6 linked regions of the Kluyveromyces lactis genome follow. The protein of the gene in region 1 interacts with the protein of each later gene in a biochemical or structural test. Links are inferred from orthologs where the notes say so. Each region holds a gene or a part of one and is shown in the gene's direction. Other genes may lie near its edges.

Region 1 (4,195 bases):
CATAAGAACATATATATAAGGGCCAATACACAAATGTATAATGATGAAAAAAGACTGAACTCCAATTAGTTGCAGATTCTCCAACATTTTCGCAGTCGAAAGAAATATTGCAATAAGTACCGATACGTGTGAATTCAAACGTTTAATAAGCCGATACCAATGAGTGCTGTTGCCCACGACGCTGCTTGTATTTTCTGCAAGATTATCAAAGGTATGTAAACCTCAAATTGTTAGGTGAGAACAAATATCTGTTTCTCCCCTTGGTTTTTGCATGCTCGCAACCACCCAAGTGGCTTAGACTAGCTCTTTGATCTTATGAACTATAATACTAACAGATTCCACTACTGGTGTACTTTCAGGTGAAATCCCTTCTTTCAAATTGGTTGAAACTCAGTATTCTTACTCGTTCCTTGACATCCAACCAACTGAAGAGAACCACATTCTTATCATTCCAAAGCACCACGGTGGGAAATTGCACAACATCCCAGATGAATACTTAGCTGACCTGTTGCCAGTTACTAAGAAGTTAGTGAAAGCCATTGGCTTCGACCAAGATGGTCCTGATGGTCCAGGGTACAATGTCCTTCAAAACAACGGTAGAATAGCCCATCAAGAAGTAGATCACGTGCATTTCCATTTGATCCCAAAGAAAACAAAGGATGCTGGATTAATCGTAGGTTGGCCTGCACAGGAAACTGATTTTGCTAAGCTGAGTGAAATGCATAAAAAGTTGCTTGCCAAACTAGAAACCTAAGCGCGATCTTTTTCGCAATGAAAGAGACCAAGATATGACGAAGATGACGAAGCTGACGAAGCTGACGAAGCTAACGAAGATGATCATTGAGATCGTCTCATATATATTATAACTACATATTTCCTACTGTACCAATTTCTACTTACCATTCACATAAGGAATCCAATAGCTCATTCGCATTGTGGGAGGGATCTTCTTAGAGAGGAGATGAAAAAATATTGTTACCCGGCCGAAATTTCACATATCCGGTGGCAAATTCTGAAATCTCTAGATTATAAAGAGGGAAGCGATTTATTATATATAAGTATTGCACACTATTTTCGGTGATCCTTGAAGGTTATTTTCAGGATTAACACCAGTAAGTGAACGCTAGATTAAATAAAGCACTCACCAGGGATTTACAATAATTGTCTCCTTTAATTGAATCATTGAATCACCAGATTAGGGGTTAGATCAAGTTATTTAATTTTTGTTTTATCTTCCGTCTTTTGGTTGAAATAAGAAGAAATAAGGTCCAATTTCAGAAGTTAATCAAGAAACCTGCATATCCTGTTTACCAAGAGCTTAATTACATCGTGGATCCTACCAGAAGGAATTACAGTATCTTTAAAACAACTTTTCACCTCAGTTATTAAGAGAACATGCCAGAAGAACATAAGAAATTGTTAGATAGTTCTGGCACTGCAGCTGACGCAGATGATGCTACCGCCACTGCCATCTTGAGAAGAAAGAAGAAGCAAAACATGTTACTGGTCGATGATGCAGTTAACGATGACAATTCTATCATTGCTATCAATTCTAACACTATGGATCTTTTACAATTGTTCCGTGGTGACACCGTTTTAGTCAAGGGTAAGAAGAGAAAGGACACCGTTTTGATTGTTATGATTGATGACGAACTGGAAGATGGTGTCTGTAGAGTAAACCGTGTTATTCGTAACAACTTGAGAATAAGACTCGGTGATTTGGTCACTATCCATCCATGTACCGATATCAAGTATGCTTCCAGAATCTCAGTGTTGCCAATCGCTGACACCATCGAGGGGTTGACTGGTAATCTATTTGATGTGTACTTGAAGCCATACTTTGTCGAAGCTTATAGACCGGTTAGAAAAGGTGACCACTTTATCGTTAGAGGTGGTATGAGACAAGTAGAGTTCAAGGTCGTAGACGTTGAGCCTGAAGAGTACGGTGTTGTTGCCCAAGATACTGTCATTCATAGTGAAGGTGAGCCAATTAACAGAGAAGATGAAGAAAATAACATCAATGAAGTCGGTTATGATGATATTGGTGGTTGTCGTAAGCAAATGGCTCAAATTAGAGAATTGGTCGAATTGCCATTGAGACACCCACAACTATTTAAGGCCATTGGTATCAAACCTCCGAAGGGTATTTTGATGTACGGTCCTCCAGGTACCGGTAAAACTCTAATGGCCAGAGCTGTGGCTAACGAGACAGGTGCATTTTTCTTCTTAATCAATGGTCCAGAAGTCATGTCCAAGATGGCTGGTGAATCTGAATCCAACTTGAGAAAGGCTTTCGAAGAAGCAGAAAAGAATGCTCCGGCCATTATTTTTATCGATGAAATTGATTCTATTGCACCAAAGCGTGACAAGACTAACGGTGAAGTGGAAAGAAGAGTCGTTTCTCAATTATTGACTCTAATGGATGGTATGAAGGCTAGATCCAACATCGTTGTCATTGCAGCCACCAATAGACCCAATTCTATCGATCCTGCTTTGAGAAGATTCGGTAGATTTGATAGAGAAGTCGATATTGGTGTTCCTGACGTTACTGGTAGATTGGAAGTCTTACGTATTCACACTAAAAATATGAAGTTGGCTGACGACGTCGACTTAGAAAAGTTGGCCGCTGAAACCCATGGTTATGTTGGTGCTGATATTGCCTCCCTATGTTCTGAAGCTGCTATGCAACAAATTCGTGAAAAGATGGACCTAATTGACTTAGATGAAGACGAAATTGACGCCGAAGTGTTGGACTCATTAGGAGTTACTATGGACAACTTCAGATTTGCATTGGGTAACTCCAACCCATCCGCATTGCGTGAAACCGTTGTAGAATCTGTTAATGTCACATGGGATGATATCGGTGGCTTGGATGAAATTAAGGATGAATTGAAGGAAACCGTCGAATATCCAGTCTTGCATCCAGATCAATACACCAAGTTTGGTTTGTCACCATCGAAGGGTGTGTTGTTCTACGGTCCTCCTGGTACTGGTAAGACTTTGTTAGCTAAGGCTGTCGCCACCGAAGTGTCTGCTAATTTCATTTCGGTCAAGGGTCCTGAGTTATTAAGTATGTGGTACGGTGAGTCCGAATCCAATATCCGTGATATTTTCGACAAAGCCAGAGCTGCAGCCCCAACTGTCGTTTTCTTAGATGAATTGGACTCCATTGCTAAGGCTCGTGGTGGTTCTTTAGGTGATGCAGGTGGTGCATCTGACAGAGTGGTTAACCAATTATTGACCGAAATGGATGGTATGAACGCCAAGAAGAACGTTTTCGTTATTGGTGCCACTAACAGACCAGATCAAATCGATCCAGCTATTTTAAGACCTGGTAGATTGGATCAATTGATCTACGTTCCATTACCAGACGAAACAGGAAGATTATCTATTCTATCAGCCCAATTAAGAAATACACCATTAGAACCAGGACTAGATCTAAAGACCATCGCTCAAGCTACACAGGGATTCTCTGGTGCAGATTTATTATATATCGTACAGAGAGCTGCGAAGTTTGCCATTAAAGATTCCATCGAGGCACAAAAACGTGCAGAAGTTGTCAAGAAAGAAGAAGGTGCAGAAGAAACCGAGAAGGTCAAGACAGAAGAAGACGTTGAAATGTCAGACGTTCAACAAGAGGATCCAGTTCCATTCATTACCAAAGAACACTTCACTGAAGCTATGAAAACAGCCAAGCGTTCTGTTACAGATACTGAGCTTCGTCGTTACGAAGCTTATGCTCAACAGATGAAGGCATCCAGAGGACAATTCGGCAACTTCTCGTTTGGTGATGATTCAGGTGCTGCCGCAACTCAAGCTGGTGCTGAGGGTTCTGGTGCAGCTTTCGGAGATGCCGCTGGTGAAGATGACGATGATTTGTACAGTTAGATACATAACCTTCACAAAACATAACAGGTCTTTTTCGATGCAAAATGAAATGTAATAAATTACAATACAGAGGAATACTTGTTGCTAAATTTACGTAGAGATTAAATATTATCTATTAATCACGTGTAACAGGATATTTGAGATAACTGGTTTTAATATGGTTAAAAGATTCATCAGTCTTAGCTATCCCTTCCAATTTTGGGTCTTGAATTCATCTTTAATTCGACCTAGTAGTGCAATGGTATATTTTCGCCAGGCAAAGCAATACAGGGTCTCCGAAGTAAAACCAAATTATATTAATGAATAC
Region 2 (2,739 bases), on another chromosome or scaffold:
CCTAACATGAAATGAGAGGTTCTAGTCTTCATCATCCGAAACACTGTATCTGGTATCTAGTTCAAAGGTAATAACATTTTTCTCATAGTATTTGTAACATTTATGAATATCTGTAATGACTGATGATGAAACTGAAATGCGTAAATGTTAAACGCGGAAAACAAGGTAAAATTAGTGTATAGGTGACTATATGCAAGGAGATGCTAAATTAGTAAAGATAAATCTATAATGCTGGCATGGTATATGTGACCGACGTGGATGTCGCATTGAGTTCTGGTAATTCGGGATATTCATTGTTAGAGTCTGACTGTGCTGAAAAATGCTTTGAACTGTGATTAAACCAACTTATAGATTGGTTGAATTTTTGTTCATCAAAGGAACTCGGAAGATTAATTTCATCCGAAGGATTTGTCGTCATGACAGCCGGCGATCTCACGTAGGTCGATGTCGCAACATTGTTTGCCAATGACTTGTATCTTGCATCTATTTTGATTTTCAATTCCTCAGTAATCTTCATGATAGCAGGGACTTCCAACTTCAGCAGTTGGAAGTATTCTCTTTTGTATAACGATTCCACTGATGTGTTAACTTCTGAATGATGCACAAGTCTATTCAGACAAAGATCTAAGTATCTAATATAAAGAAGATATGCGCGCTCCATATTATTGCACCTGGCACTATTTTGAGCTTCCTCGACAATGCTAATGCAAGTTGTCAGATACAATTTCAGAGGCACATTTGAATTGAATCTATAATTAAGAGCTTCTTGCTTTAAGTGTGAACTGGATTTCATTGTATCAGATGGAGTAGCAGTGTTTAATTAATTCGGGTACCGTATATTCTTTCGAGTAAAAGGAAAAAGCTGGGATTTAAAAAGATTATTCAGTTTAACGGGTTCTTCTCCTATTTTCCAAATCGCATCTATAACTCAAGCTGACACAACGCTTGCCCAACAGCAGCTGATCCACCACTGGTGCCAATAAACTAAAAGTTCCATTATTTCTTCATGCACTCAACCTGTCATCTCATCTCATCTCGTTGTGGTTTTGACGTTTACTGTTCTTGCATGCAAAGAAAAATGTTTGCTGTGATGTACGGGTTAATTTCACTTGAGCATGTGATCTGTTTTTGGAATCCTCTAAGTGCCTAAGCAATAAGGGGAAAATCGGATAGAACAACAGACTATCTATCCATCCCCAAGAGGATAGCCATAGCATTTCCATATATATCTGTCGAATAACCACCGCTAAACGAGACTTAATATATTTCCTATTCGCAGATGAGGGTCAAGGTATCTATTTCTGGGAAGAGCGACAAAGTTTTAACTGTCGAAGCCGAATGTGATTTGGAAACATTTCAGGGACTCATTCTGTCCTCATATGAAGATGATCTATCATTGCAGAGTATGCGGTACGGATTCCCACCTCAGAGTATACTTTTTCAGGGGAATGAGGCTAAGACACTTGAAGAGCTAGGAATATGCAATGGGGAACGGATCATAGTGAGCCTGAGTAAAGCCGATGAAGCTATTGCCACCAGAACACAACCAAGTATTAATGCCAGTAAAGCAAATACACTACCCAATAAAGAAGTGAAAAAGAAGCCCACTGGTAAATCTGAAAGTGTACAGATAGATTCAACTAGAGCACTACAACTCCATGAAGTGCCCGATGACAATTCGTGTCTATTCCATGCTATATCCTATGCTGTCTACAAGAACATTTCACTGTCATCAGAACTACGGGGAGTTGTGGCGTCAGAAGTCCGGAGAGACCCATTTGAATATTCAGATGCTATTCTTGGCAGGCCGAATCATGAATACAGTGAGTGGATAATGAAACATTCTTCATGGGGAGGTGGTATCGAGATTGCAATATTATCGAAACATTTTCAGTATGCGATATACGTGCTCGATGTGGATGCACGTAAATTCGAGAAATTCAACGAGGATTTATACGATAAATTTATTATTATAGCATATAACGGAGTTCATTATGATACGGTAGAGATATTTGATGGAACTCAGCATCAAACTGTATTTGACATCGGAGAGAAAGATACTGAATTCCTTTTACAAAAAACACAGGAGATCGCGAAGAAGATGAAAAGAGAGGGGAAGTCTTTCAATACTGCAAGAGATTCAATTTTATGCAATACTTGTGGCACCACCTTGATTGGAGAACGAGAGGTGAGCAAGCACGCTGAGAAAACTGGTCATGTTGATTTTAGGCAAAAATAAAACAAATATAACCATTGAATAATATTGAAGAAAGAAATAGCACTTAATATATGAGCGTCTGTATATCTACCAGTTTATATAATTGCACTTTCGGTGTATTTCTCTTGTGTTAAATGATAATATACATTGAAGAAAAAGCACAGGAAGTGAAAATGTTTTCCTGCATCTAATCAGCCATTTGAATTTCCCCTTCAGCAACTACAGCTTCTTGCTGTGCTTGTTCCTGTACTGCACCATCAAGGTATGGCAAAGTGGATTCTGTTGTGCTGACGTTGGCCAAAGTGGTATCAAGATGTGAGGTTAATATCTTTTCGTTTTCCTCCTTTTGAGGACCAATTTGAGATTTGATCTGCTCTACTCTAGCCAAGAACGAGTTCACACCACACCCAACAGCAGCATCTGCTACCTGTTGAGTGTATGGAACACCTTTCAATTCCTTCACCCTTCTCTTATGGATTTTAGTCTTCAAATGAGTCTTTAAGGCATATGCAGTTTCGAAA
Region 3 (3,819 bases), on another chromosome or scaffold:
TTTGTTCATCGAAATGCTTCTTGGTTGCATCTAACGAGCTGTTCTCAGCCAACAACAAGTTCGGCTTGTACTTTAAATTGTTCAACTCTGCCCAATAAACTGGCACGGAACCCCTCGTTTGTAAAAAAGAGAAGAAGTGATAGCCATCCTTCATTGGCTTTTGAACACACAGCACCTGCTCTGTCTCGTTGAAGTTACCAACATTACCGTGTTCGTCAATGCCTCTGCGGAAATATCTAGTTCCGGCCCTAAATATACTCCTTCTCGTGATCAATCCAATCGAAATCGGAGTCGCATGGAAAACAGTATCAACAACCTTAGCATACCCATAGATCATAGGAATAATGAAGTCTGATACCCTGTCATCAACTTTAGCAAGCTTCTGCAAGGATTCTGTCACGTAATAGTTCCAAAAGAACCTCCTGTCCGCTTGTTCCCACGACACAGCTGATGACTCTAGTTCTTCGTTCCTTTGAGCACTGTTTGTCAAATCGTAACCATACGAATAGAACAGAGTCGCACCAGCTAAATGCTGTTCCAATAACTGCAAATACTGAGACTCATCAGAATCTGGTCTCTGCTTCTTATCAACGCTGATAATCGTGTGCTCAGCCACCTTGTACACATTATGACCGTTCAAACAACCAGCTTCCTCGACTCTATTGGCAATAATCACGTACTTACCGAACTTCAACTTGATGATACCGATCAACGCAGCCACCTTCATGATATTTCCACGAACAGGAAACTCAGTACTGCCCAAAACGTTCACCTCGTTCTCGTGTGTTGACACATTTAGAACCGCGTCGTTCTTCGAAGAAGAACTGGCTACCTTTAACAGGACCCTATCCTTCTCCTGGCACACAAGTAACGGACCTCTCATTTTCTAAGGAGATTCTCAGAGCACTGAATTGAATACGATTCAGCAAATTCAGGTACAATTGGATCCTCTGTTGGCGTGTCTCGTGTACTTGATAAACTAATTCATGATAAAGTTGCGTAACTGAATTTGTTTATTTCGAAAGTTTGATTTAAACAACTAAGCGAATGTCAAAAATAAAGGTATTAGCGTGGGAAAGAGCAACTACTGAATAAAACAGGGCTTTCCAAGTATACAAAGTATTTTAATCAGGTTCAGGTGATTTTATTTGATAGGTCTAATAGTTGTAATTGTACTGGTACCAATTTTAAGTGAGAGATGTACCAACTTAGCGCACAATTGCGTGGTCACACACAGGACGTGAGGAGTGTGGTTTCTTTAAGTACGACTCAGGTGGCAAGTGCCTCTAGAGATGGTACAGTTAGGATATGGAATTTGGATGCGGATGGGAATTGGGAAGGTTCTATTGCGTTTAGCAGTGAAAAGTTTGTGAACAGTTTGACGTACGATGCTAAGCAGTGTGTTCTATTTTGCGGTGGCCAAGAAAAGATTATTTACGGTGTGTCTCCGTTGCTTGCTCTGGGGCAAGAACCGGTTTATACTTTAGTAGGCCATGAGGGGAACATTTGCTCACTTTCTGGAGACTTTGAAAGCCTAGTGAGCTCCTCTTGGGACAAGACTGCTAAAGTGTGGACTAATGGGATTGTAAAATGGGAACTTAAGGGACATTCGGCCTCTGTATGGGATGCCAAGCTCTTGAACGATGGGAGCGTCCTTACAGCGTCAGCAGATACTACAGTTAAGTTATGGAAAAATGGTACGCTGGCTAAGACTTTTGATAAGTTACATTCCGATGTGGTTAGAAATATATGTATTCTTGACGATGGAAAGCATTTTGTTAGTTGTTCCAACGATGGTACTTTGAAGCTATCCAACTTGGAAGGCGGTATTTTGCACGAGTTTATAGGTCATGAAAGCTTTGTCTATGCTGTGAAACAACTGCCAAGCGGAGATATTGTGTCTTGTGGTGAGGATAGAACCGTTCGTATTTGGAACATGGATGGAACTATCAAACAAGTCATTACTTTACCAGCGATCTCCATTTGGACCGTCGATGTGTTACCCAATGGCGATATTGTTGTTGGTAGCAGTGACAAAATCATCAGAATCTTTACTGAGAATGAGCAAAGACTTGCATCCCAGGAAGAGATCACATCTTTGCAAAAACAAGTGGAGGAATCTGCCGTTAACGCACAGACGATGGGGTTTGACGAATCGAAGTTGAAACCATCGTCAGTGCTTCAGAAGCCGGGTGAAAAGGAGGGTCAGATTGTTGTTGTCAAGAATGAGAATGGTGTTATAGAGGCACATCAGTTCACGGGAGGTTCTTGGAGTAAAGTCGGAGACGTTGTTTCATCTGCCGGTAGCGATAATAAGGTTGAATATGAGGGTAAGAATTACGATTTCGTGTTTGATGTTGACATCGAAGAAGGCAAACCACCGTTGAAACTACCCGTCAATGCAAACGATAATCCGTACGATGTTGCAGATAAATTCATAATTAGATACGAGTTGCCAACAAGTTATAAGGATCAAATTGTCCAATTCATTGTGACAAATACTAAGTCGACTACATTAGATCAACCTTCTGATATTTCCAGACATGCAGACGTCAATTATAAGATATTCCCCGTGAAGAAGTACCTAAAACTTACATCTTTCAACCCAGATTCTTTGTTCAATGGTATTGTGAAACTTAATCAGGCAGAAAATACCTTTGACGATGACGCACTTGGGGCAATCGGTTCAGCTTTGCACGATGTGGAAAACAACATTGAACTATTGTATGCGCATGCATGCATCATTAAAAATCAATGGAAGGGGAACAAAACACCCGCATACGATATAGTTAGAATTCTAACCCCAAAGTTACCTTCAAGTGACGACATGAGTGAGTTTATCGAGGAAGGACTTTCACAAGAAAATCCAATCTCTACAATGCTAACTACAAGAATGTTAGCCAACTGTTTCTCTAACCAAATTTGGGGGAAAGAGCTCATGGGTAAGCCAGCATTGTACGATTCCGTGTTCCAAATATTGGACGGTGATTATCCAAATTGCAAACCTCAACAAAAAGACAACTTGGCTATTGCAATCGCCACTCTACTCTTCAATTATACCGTATACATCCTGGAATCCAATGATCAACAAATTCTTCCAATCATTGCTGATGTACTTAATACAAAATACGGATCATCATCTCTGTTCCTCAACAGTGAAGAAGCTACATATAGACTCCTAATCGCTTACGGAAATCTAGCCACTGTAGAACCATCGTTACATCAATACGCTAAATCCATCTCCTGGATTATCAGAGCTAAGGATAAATACGGTAAGATAGGTAGATTCGAAGATGTATTCGAAGACTTATTTAGATGATGGTAGTCTTTGATCATTAAATATTACATACATACATAAAGATACAACTTCTCCGGGTTAATTTGCTATCAAGTTATCAAATATGGTGGTGTTCTGTCAATGCTAGTGAGTGGATCATAATTCAATCATCATTAGAGTAGTTGAAGCGCTCGTCTCTTCTTTAATCCTATTCATGTACATAAGCATTTCTTGAAAAATTATAAAGGAAAGTTTAGTCAAAGTTTACATTTAACATGTAAGTAAAGGTTTGAACGAAAGATTGACAATTTCAAGGGTGAATAAGTTCAATTGAGGCACTAGCTGACCAATAAAAAACAATCACACGTTTTAAAATGTCTTTTGAGCGGGACTTAGAGAGCATTGCTGAAGGAAAAGTATGTTCTAACCAGTTTTCATTCCAGTTACAGATTTCTACATCAGAAGCAAACCGAACATTTTACTAACTCATTTCAACAAATTCAAACTAATATGAACCAGACACGTCAACACCATGCAGTATG
Region 4 (2,572 bases), on another chromosome or scaffold:
CTTGTCCTGCTTCTTGTCACCAGCTCCTTTCCTAACATCATTCCGCCTGTTAGCATCGTTTGCACCGGGACGATTCACTCTGGGACCCCCATCGTGAGTCGACTCCCGAGAATCCTTTGAGGCACATAAACCCATATCGTCAGCTAACCTTTTTCTTTTCCCAGCACGCTATGCAAATATGGTCGCTCAGCTTTCCTAAATTGGTTGGAAACTTAGTGATTTCTTAGACGTTCTATTTCAGAATATACCAACACCTGTTCTTAGAATTTTCCCTGTCCTTTTCCTTTCGTAAAGTTCTTTCAAATCAAACGTTATATGATTTTTCAATAATGTTAACCTGCTCAAAGAAACGAAAAAAATGGTGAAAACTGGTTTCTACGCTGGTTTGTGAAGGATACGCTGTGGTTAAAATGATGTGATATGCAATCGGTAGACCACTTTGTTGTCGGCTGTCAGACAGAAGTTGGTCGGTATTATATAGGGAGTATTTGAAATATAAGAAAGGGGAACTAGGAATTACTAAGATCCTTATTATTACGAGTTGTTTCAGCTGGAACTGTGCTCCCTTAAATACCATGCTCGTTATGTGGGTAGTTTGAACATGCAAAAAATTGCAAAATATTAATACCTCAGCTATCCATTCCAACTGATGGATTTTCCAAGTGGTTTTCCCTTCTCGTAGAAACTGAATATACACTCTTTACAATTGGGACTGACAAGCCTTTCGAAGAGATGTCAGTTTCTACATGGTGATTAGAAACTCGAGTGGAAAAACTTCTGGAGACACCCAGCATGATCACTGGAGAACAACATTTATGTAAAGAATAAACCTGTAGCCTCGGCTGAATGTACTGTATAGGAGAGAAGACCATTGGAATAGCTCCGTTTGTGTTACTATTAAGAGTAGCTGTAATTGACACATTGAGACAGGAACACTCGTTACCCGAATATTATAAATACATTTGTCACGTGATTTTGCTGGCATCTTCCACAGTATTCTCTCATAGACTTGTGTAAAATGAAGATGAGTAAGGCAGAGATCATCACTGGCTATGATATGGATGGCGGGACGTATTTGTCATATCGCTTATATATATAAAGAGCACCTGGCAAGGCCGATAATATACACAGGTTGTTTGCCACTTGGGATGAGTTTCTCACTTTGATATCGATTTGTGTTATTTGTGTTTTATAGAACTCCAGGTCCGGGACCAAGACTGATCAAGGGCTAAAAGAAGAAATAATACAGTTGATAAACAATGACTAAAGAAGTTGGTATGCTAGATGTCGGCACACACTGTTCGTTTTGTCGACAGACTGATTTCCTACCGTTCCATTGTTCTGCTTGCAACGGTGATTTTTGTGCCAACCATAGATTGAAGGAAGATCATCACTGTGAATCACTGAAGATAGGTAAGAATAGCCGCAGCAGTGTCACAGTTAGTATTCCTGCTGCTGCTGCTGCTGCTGTCACTCCGAAGAAGGACAATGGTGGTAGCTTCTTTCAATCTTTGTTACCTGCCAGAGCACCAGATCGGATAAAGACCATGATGCAAGAGGATAACTCGAAACCACCGGTAGATAACCTAAAATCGAAGCTTTTCAACAGTAAAACCTCCAGTTCTCGTGTAGCTATCGATAAACTACGGCATTTTTTCGCCAAGAACGGTAAATTATTCGAGAGTAAGAAATCTACTACCAAATTTTCTTCTGCCAATAAGCTAATACAAGTCACTAAGATGAAGCGCACTGCAAAGGGAGATGATTCTATCCCTGTCGCAAATAGAATATACGCATGGTGTTACGTGGTGGCGGACTCTTCGGATAAGAAACCCATCGCGAATGAAGTGTTCATAAATAAGATGTGGCCAATTGGAAGAGCTTTGGATTCCTTGGCATCTGTGCTAAACGTGAAAAATTCAAACATCGACCATTCGATATCAACAGATGAGAAGTTATTTTTGTACAAAGGTGATGCTTCTACTCAGCATCTATTACCCTCGAGTGCGCGAGTCAATGCCACCATCCAGGAAGGTGATACTTTATATTTGGTAAGAGGGTTAGGTCGATGATTGCAACGCCGCGTAATGGAATCTGAAGGATAAAATAGCACATTCTTTTGGTCTTTACTTATAGCATAGTTCATGTAGTTTCGTAATTACGTCTTACAGTCAAACACAATGACACTTGTCACGTGACAGATTAAGTTGTCGAAACATTACTGCATCAAGCTACAGACATGGTACCAGCCGAGTGCGTTTCGCCCAAGCTACAAATCCGGGTAATAGCAACTGCGGCAAATATGGACGGTTCTTACATTTGGAAATACCCTGCGGCCGCAGTGATTTCTCACAAAGAACGTAAGTATTAATCTGCCAAAGAGTGGCCCGGTCAAGGTGACTAAACCAAGATAATTTGGTGGCTGGGGATTTTAAGGTAGGCTCTCAATCGACTTTGTACGCTCGAGCATTGTTTCTAGTTGCTTCTGTGCATTATACTGACATCTCAAGAAGACAATTAATACTCGCCGTAATTACACTAGGACTCGTTATGTGACAAATACAATTTCCGA
Region 5 (2,519 bases), about 2.0 Mb from region 1:
ATAGGATTAGTATTATAAACTTTAGGAAAGAAGATGTTCGTATAAATATTGTGACATGAGGTAATTGCCGCTGAACTTATACATATATATTTATTGACGGTATAAAAATTTTCCTAGTCTTGTGAAGAATAGTAGACCAAGGAAGTAGAAATCAATGAAATATAACAACTGTGCGCTATCGGTAATGTCTTGATAGCAGGTCACGCAAGTGACTAAACCAATAGCCAAACCAGATGCTAGCATAGTAAATGAGCTGTCAAAGAACAACCAAAGGATAATGTTGAGTAAGAACCATGCACCACTTGCTTGTAAACTGGAAGACCATTCAATTCTACGAATCCCAAAAGAAACACCTAACATGGCATTTGTAGATCTTAAAACACTAGAAATAGTGGTTGGTTGCCGATCAAAGGTTCCAAGTATCCAGTTTACAAATGGAACGATACTTCCGAAAAGTATACCTTCGATGGCGTAAAATGTCCAAGGTGGTAAATACCCAAAACTTAATGATTGTGCAATAGTGGCACCCAATAATAACGGGCGGGAAGTAAAGTCATTATGCAATTCATGATTATCATGTAAGTTCTTTGATAATTCATGATAAGCGATGCCTGCTATCGATAGTACAACCCATGCTAAAGCCACATTGACAGAACTAGGGATTTTCTTAGCACGTTGTACTATTCCATTTTCTAATTCTTTACCACTTGATGCTTTTTTAACTTCTTCATAGATCTCTGAGTCCTCGCTCTTGAGCACATCAGCATCATATAGTCCATACAATGCAGGCTTCGTCAACAAGTTGGACGACTCTGAGCTTCCGTACTTTGATCCCGTGCTATTCGACGCGCTTTCTGTCATGTTTTTGATGAACGACAATAATTTAGTTTATTACCAATAAATATATTGTTTCACAGGTCAATTAAATCACTGTGGAACTGTACGTAAGCTTGAGTTGTATTGGTGGATCCTAAAATCGATTGGAAATCTCAGGGTGTGTGGACACTTTAGAATAAATTAGAAAGGAATGTGGTTTGTACGATATGTATTTTTAAAAAATTTAGTTGAAATAGTGGACTATCGATTTTTGTTTTAAGAATCGTATTTAAACATTTCAAAAGAACCTCCATTTGGAGACACATCAAACGAAGAGACCAAAGGAAAAATTGGATTTTAGTATTGGATACTACTGCGGATGATAACAGTAGAATATCCTATGGATATGAACTAACTAAAAAAGTTGCGCTATTGAAAATTAATGACAGCCTATATACGGACAACGCACAGATGGTTCCTCCGATACAAAAGAATCCGCATGTAGGAAGCATTGCAGTATTGCAAACAAAACCAGGAAAAAACGATGCATTAAACATATTGAAAAGGGTCGCTCATAACGTATCGTATCTGATGAAAGAGGAAAGGTTCAAAGTAAGACAATTAGTTGAGTTTTATCCACGGAATCGATCACTTTTAGGTATGAACGTGAACAAAGGCATGAAGATCATGTTGCGGCTTAGAGACCCATTAGACGAATATAAATTTCTACCGATAGAATCTATTATGGGTACCATGCTTCATGAGCTTACCCATAATTTACATGGTCCTCATGACCGAAAGTTTTACGAAAAGCTGGATCAATTATCGGGAAGACAATGGACCATTGAACAAATGGGACTTTACGACAGCTTTCTCGGCACCGGGAAAAGATTGGGTAGCAAACCGATGGGGTCGATTATTATTGGAAAGACATTAGAAAGAGGTAAAGGAAGAAGACTAGGTGGTACGACACCTGGAACAGGACCAAGAAGGAATGCTAGAGAAATGGCAGCAATCGCGGCAGATAAAAGGGCAGCGGATAACAAAACATGCTGCAACTCAAATGATCAGAAAAACTATATGCCTGTTCAAGAAGATCTAGTAATAGAACTTCTTGATGATGATTCAAACGAAGAGAATCATAATATTGAAGTCACCAAGTTAGAAACCGCTGGGGGTATAGAAATTATGGATTTGACGTGAACTGCAACATCTGAGATCATAAAGAGATGAAATTAGATAACCAAGGAATGTTGGTTTACATATTCATTATCTTATTACTTCCCTACTTGGAAACCTTGACAAAGAAAAGATTACAACAGTAATTTTATTTAGTTATAAAGTATTTGAATGTCAACAGTAATGAAGCCACCGCTGCCCAACCAAATAGAAAACAAATTACATGAGGCCGTCGGGAAACTAAACAAAAGATGTATGGAAGTGCCACATAAATCTTTTTTAGATTTGAATTCACTTAAGGTTAGAAACGAAAACATGATTAAGATTGGTGTCAACCGTAAAAAGATCATTGATCTAAAGAATAACAAATGGCAATCGGTTAAAGAACATGGAATATCAATACGATCATAGGAGTCAACAGTCACCCTAAAATTGAACGCAAGCAGATAATAATAGACACAATTTTGATTGAGGCAGCCATTAAGGAAACTGATCCCCTCAACTTATCATTTTGTCTACCATTA
Region 6 (3,069 bases), about 430 kb from region 1:
CGTAGAAGATAAATAATCGGCATCTGATAGAGAAACTTTAAGCTTTGATAGTAATTTTTCTGCAAGCAAAGAAGGATTTTTACAAAGGCCATTTTCATCTGCAAATTTCGGATTTGTTTGATACCATGTATGTTTCCGTAAAGTATCCAAAGAAGCTCTTTTCTCTGGATCTGGTTGTAATATTTTTCTCAAGAGATTCAATTCAACGAAATCTATCTTCAGCCAAGATCCCTGATCTAGCTTTCCTTCGCCTTTAATAAAGTTTCTAAACGTTTCATCGTCCTCGTGAGGAAGTTCCCAAGGCGTTTCTCCAGTCAACAAAACGAATAATAGAACACCAATGGACCAAATATCTGTCATATCAGCATAGTACCCATCACAGTATATTATTTCCGGTGCCATGTAGGGAAGACTTCCTCGTTGATCTCTAGAAATACGTTTTGATCCATCTTTTCTCTTGAACAGCGATGCTAGCCCAAAATCTGCAAGTTTTAAATTCCCATCTTTATCCAATAGGATATTTTCCGGCTTGATATCCCTATGGGCAACACCACAGGTATCATGCAGATAACTTATAGCTTTTATAAGTTGTTTATAATAGAATTGGGCGACTTCCGAGTCGACTCCAATGTCAGGTTCGATTTTATCGAAAAGATCACCACCTTCAGCCAGTTCCATGGCTATCCAAAGAAACGGATCAGAAAGATTGCAATCTATAACCTTTAGCACATTAACAAAATTAGAGCATCTAGAATGTAACTTAACTTCCCTCAACACATCTTCCTGACTCATACCTTGTTTCTCACATGAAGGAAGATGTATGAATTTGACAGCAATTACAGTGGACGGATCAACTTCTAAACTAGCTCTCTTCACAAAGGCAAAGGAGCCCTTCCCAATTGTTCTTCCTAGTTGTAATCCATCAATATGAGGGAGCTGAGCTATCTGTGAAAAGCTCATCAATACATCAATCGAAGTGTTCTTCTTTTACTTCTTTTTTGTTCTTGTCGGTTCGTATCTCAGAAATCTCCAGCTATATCAGCCAAACGCACATTCAATATTTACGCAACTGATGTGCTCAAAATATCATCCAACCGTCCTAACTGAACCCCAAGTGATTTACCTAGGATAACACGTCGGAGACTCGTATATAAATCCCGTTTTCCCCATAAGTATCATCATAAAACTATTGTTTTTCTTTTCTGATCAGATCTGCGATAGTCATTAGTTTCTGTCATTTCTTTGCATTTATAAAAACGTACATTGAAAGGGGTTTTACTACGTTTATAGTTTAATCAGTGAACAATAAACAAATCCGATACTGTTGATAGAAGCAACGAAGCAGTGGTGAGCTTTTTAGGAGTGGTAAGTGTAAGATTAGGCAAATATGAATACGATGGATACACTGGATACGCATTTTGTTTCCTCTGTGGAAAATGCGGTACAAGAATCATTGCGAGAGAACAAGGCGTTATTGGTTTATACTACGGGCGGAGATAATTCGTGGTTTGAGTCGTGGTTTACACCACTTGTAGGGGAGCAGTTGAAGGATTCGTGCGTTTGGTTACGTTTAGCTGCTGGAAGCAGGGAAATGGGTTACTTTGAGCAAATATTCCCGGATGTGAAGGTTCCTAGCGTTTATTGTATTGCTAAGGGACAAATAGTGGAGATGATAAATCCAGATCAGTTGGACATGGACGGATTTGCTACTAGGTTGATCCGGGCAGTTGGTAAAAGCAAGAGGAGAATCTCTGAAACGGATGCCGTTGATGCATCCAATACCGTTGGTGCCGCTGGTGATACCGGCGCCAGGTCCGGTAGCTGTCTGTCACAAAATGCGAAATTGATGGAGTACCAAATAAAGGCCAAGAAGCACCAGTTGACAGAACAACAGGAAAGAGAACGTATTGTTAGATTGATGAAAGCGGACCGTGAAGAAATGAAGCAACGAAGATTATCGTCATCATCTCCAAATCATACTAAGGAACACATCAATGAAGTATTGGCTGTACCCATTCACGATAATATTAAAAACAGAGATATAATAAACGCAGCAGTGTGCACCTTGCTTATAAGATTAACAGACGGTAAGACATTGAAAAACGATTTCGATTCGTCTCAAACTTTAAACGATGTAAGGACTTGGGTGGATGCCAATAGGACAGATAAGGATGGTCCGTACCAGTTCCATCGAAGTATTCCACGTGAAACTTTCACAGAATCACAAGAATTACTATCTTTGAAAGCTCTGGAGCTTACTCCAAGATCTGCATTAATCTTGAAGCCTTTGGAAAAGCATACATATTCTCGTAAGATTGCAGATGTAGAAGGACCAGGTTTGCTTGGGAAAATGTATCAGAACGTGACGTCCTGGTGGTACGGTAAATCAACGGTTGTTGATCAAAATATTCCTGAACCTGCTGAAGCATTAACATCTCAAGCTTCATCTAGATATGTTTCTCCCTTATCTTCCCCTCGTCTGGTACACTCTGATGCATCGATACCCTCAAGAGCTGTCTCTCCATCTTCTATACATTACGGCCATGTCTCAGACGACAACAGCAGATAGCACACCTGATTTATGAATCGCCTTTATGTTAAATATCATATGTATGCATGAACGAATTAAATATACATATTAATACCAAATATGAGCAATCACTCTTATCGGAAGAATTAGGCCAACAGTTTCTCGGTCATCTCTTCCTTTTTCGGTTCCTTCACTTCCGTCTTCTCTGCACGAGGAGAGTCCCTGCTCGATACCCTCAAGGATCCAAGTTTCTTTATCAAATCTTCTGTTGAGCCAGATTCCAAAGGTGCTGCAGATTTTTGTTCTTCGATCTTCTTTTTCTCCTTCTCTTTTGTATCCTCTGTTGATAGCTCCTTCTCTAACAGTGACAATTCTTCTTCAAGAGCATCATTGTCGGAAACCGACTCTCCTACTAACAAATTATGAATACGGTCTTGCTTCTCTGTATTTTCTTGGAAATCATCTAATATGTTTGAAATAGAATCTTCATCTAAAAGTTGTGAATTGATAGCCTTCAAAGCGGTACTGCCTTGTTTTAA

What was found.
Region 2: the proteins of CDC48 (region 1) and OTU1 form a complex in vitro, tested with the Saccharomyces cerevisiae proteins (3 studies listed by BioGRID). The link is inferred for Kluyveromyces lactis from reciprocal best matches to the Saccharomyces cerevisiae genes CDC48 and OTU1.
Region 3: the proteins of CDC48 (region 1) and DOA1 form a complex in vitro, tested with the Saccharomyces cerevisiae proteins (4 studies listed by BioGRID, with this or other methods). The link is inferred for Kluyveromyces lactis from reciprocal best matches to the Saccharomyces cerevisiae genes CDC48 and DOA1.
Region 4: the proteins of CDC48 (region 1) and CUZ1 form a complex in vitro, tested with the Saccharomyces cerevisiae proteins (3 studies listed by BioGRID). The link is inferred for Kluyveromyces lactis from reciprocal best matches to the Saccharomyces cerevisiae genes CDC48 and CUZ1.
Region 5: the proteins of CDC48 (region 1) and WSS1 form a complex in vitro, tested with the Saccharomyces cerevisiae proteins (2 studies listed by BioGRID, with this or other methods). The link is inferred for Kluyveromyces lactis from reciprocal best matches to the Saccharomyces cerevisiae genes CDC48 and WSS1.
Region 6: the proteins of CDC48 (region 1) and KLLA0_F01298g form a complex in vitro, tested with the Saccharomyces cerevisiae proteins (2 studies listed by BioGRID). The link is inferred for Kluyveromyces lactis from reciprocal best matches to the Saccharomyces cerevisiae genes CDC48 and UBX7.

Annotation. Positions count from the first base shown.
Region 1 is NC_006042.1:553,099-557,293, reverse strand, and holds CDC48 (AAA family ATPase CDC48), read left to right. Parts: upstream 1-1,395; coding exon 1,396-3,888; downstream 3,889-4,195. Other genes in the region: HNT1 (adenosine 5'-monophosphoramidase), read left to right, coding at 160-211, 360-754. UniProt on the Saccharomyces cerevisiae protein: ATP-dependent chaperone which probably uses the energy provided by ATP hydrolysis to generate mechanical force to unfold substrate proteins, disassemble protein complexes, and disaggregate protein aggregates.
Region 2 is NC_006040.1:484,474-487,212, forward strand, and holds OTU1 (ubiquitin-specific protease OTU1), read left to right. Parts: upstream 1-1,279; coding exon 1,280-2,239; downstream 2,240-2,739. Other genes in the region: RFU1 (Rfu1p), read right to left, coding at 224-793; BUD20 (Bud20p), read right to left, coding at 2,406-2,739. UniProt on the Saccharomyces cerevisiae protein: Hydrolase that can remove conjugated ubiquitin from proteins and may therefore play an important regulatory role at the level of protein turnover by preventing degradation.
Region 3 is NC_006038.1:1,263,418-1,267,236, forward strand, and holds DOA1 (Doa1p), read left to right. Parts: upstream 1-1,198; coding exon 1,199-3,319; downstream 3,320-3,819. Other genes in the region: phosphatidylinositol-3-phosphatase SAC1, read right to left, coding at 1-883; YRA2 (Yra2p), read left to right, coding at 3,652-3,693. UniProt on the Saccharomyces cerevisiae protein: Ubiquitin-binding protein involved in protein ubiquitination, sorting and degradation. Acts as a ubiquitinated substrate-recruiting adapter for chaperone ATPase CDC48 by binding mono- or polyubiquitin chains.
Region 4 is NC_006040.1:935,604-938,175, forward strand, and holds CUZ1 (Cuz1p), read left to right. Parts: upstream 1-1,259; coding exon 1,260-2,072; downstream 2,073-2,572. Other genes in the region: GPA2 (guanine nucleotide-binding protein subunit alpha), read right to left, coding at 1-135. UniProt on the Saccharomyces cerevisiae protein: Promotes efficient arsenite-induced clearance of stress granules (SGs). May have a role in the ubiquitin-proteasome system (UPS) protecting cells from metalloid-induced proteotoxicity.
Region 5 is NC_006042.1:2,579,010-2,581,528, reverse strand, and holds WSS1 (metalloendopeptidase WSS1), read left to right. Parts: upstream 1-1,287; coding exon 1,288-2,019; downstream 2,020-2,519. Other genes in the region: KLLA0_F27885g (uncharacterized protein), read right to left, coding at 91-861; KLLA0_F27841g (uncharacterized protein), read right to left, coding at 2,417-2,519. UniProt on the Saccharomyces cerevisiae protein: Metalloendopeptidase that acts selectively on DNA-binding proteins. DNA is needed to bring the protease and substrates together to enable proteolysis.
Region 6 is NC_006042.1:120,601-123,669, forward strand, and holds KLLA0_F01298g (UBX domain-containing protein), read left to right. Parts: upstream 1-1,387; coding exon 1,388-2,569; downstream 2,570-3,069. Other genes in the region: serine/threonine protein kinase CHK1, read right to left, coding at 1-960; phosphatidic acid-binding protein CHM7, read right to left, coding at 2,677-3,069. UniProt on the Saccharomyces cerevisiae protein: Involved in CDC48-dependent protein degradation through the ubiquitin/proteasome pathway.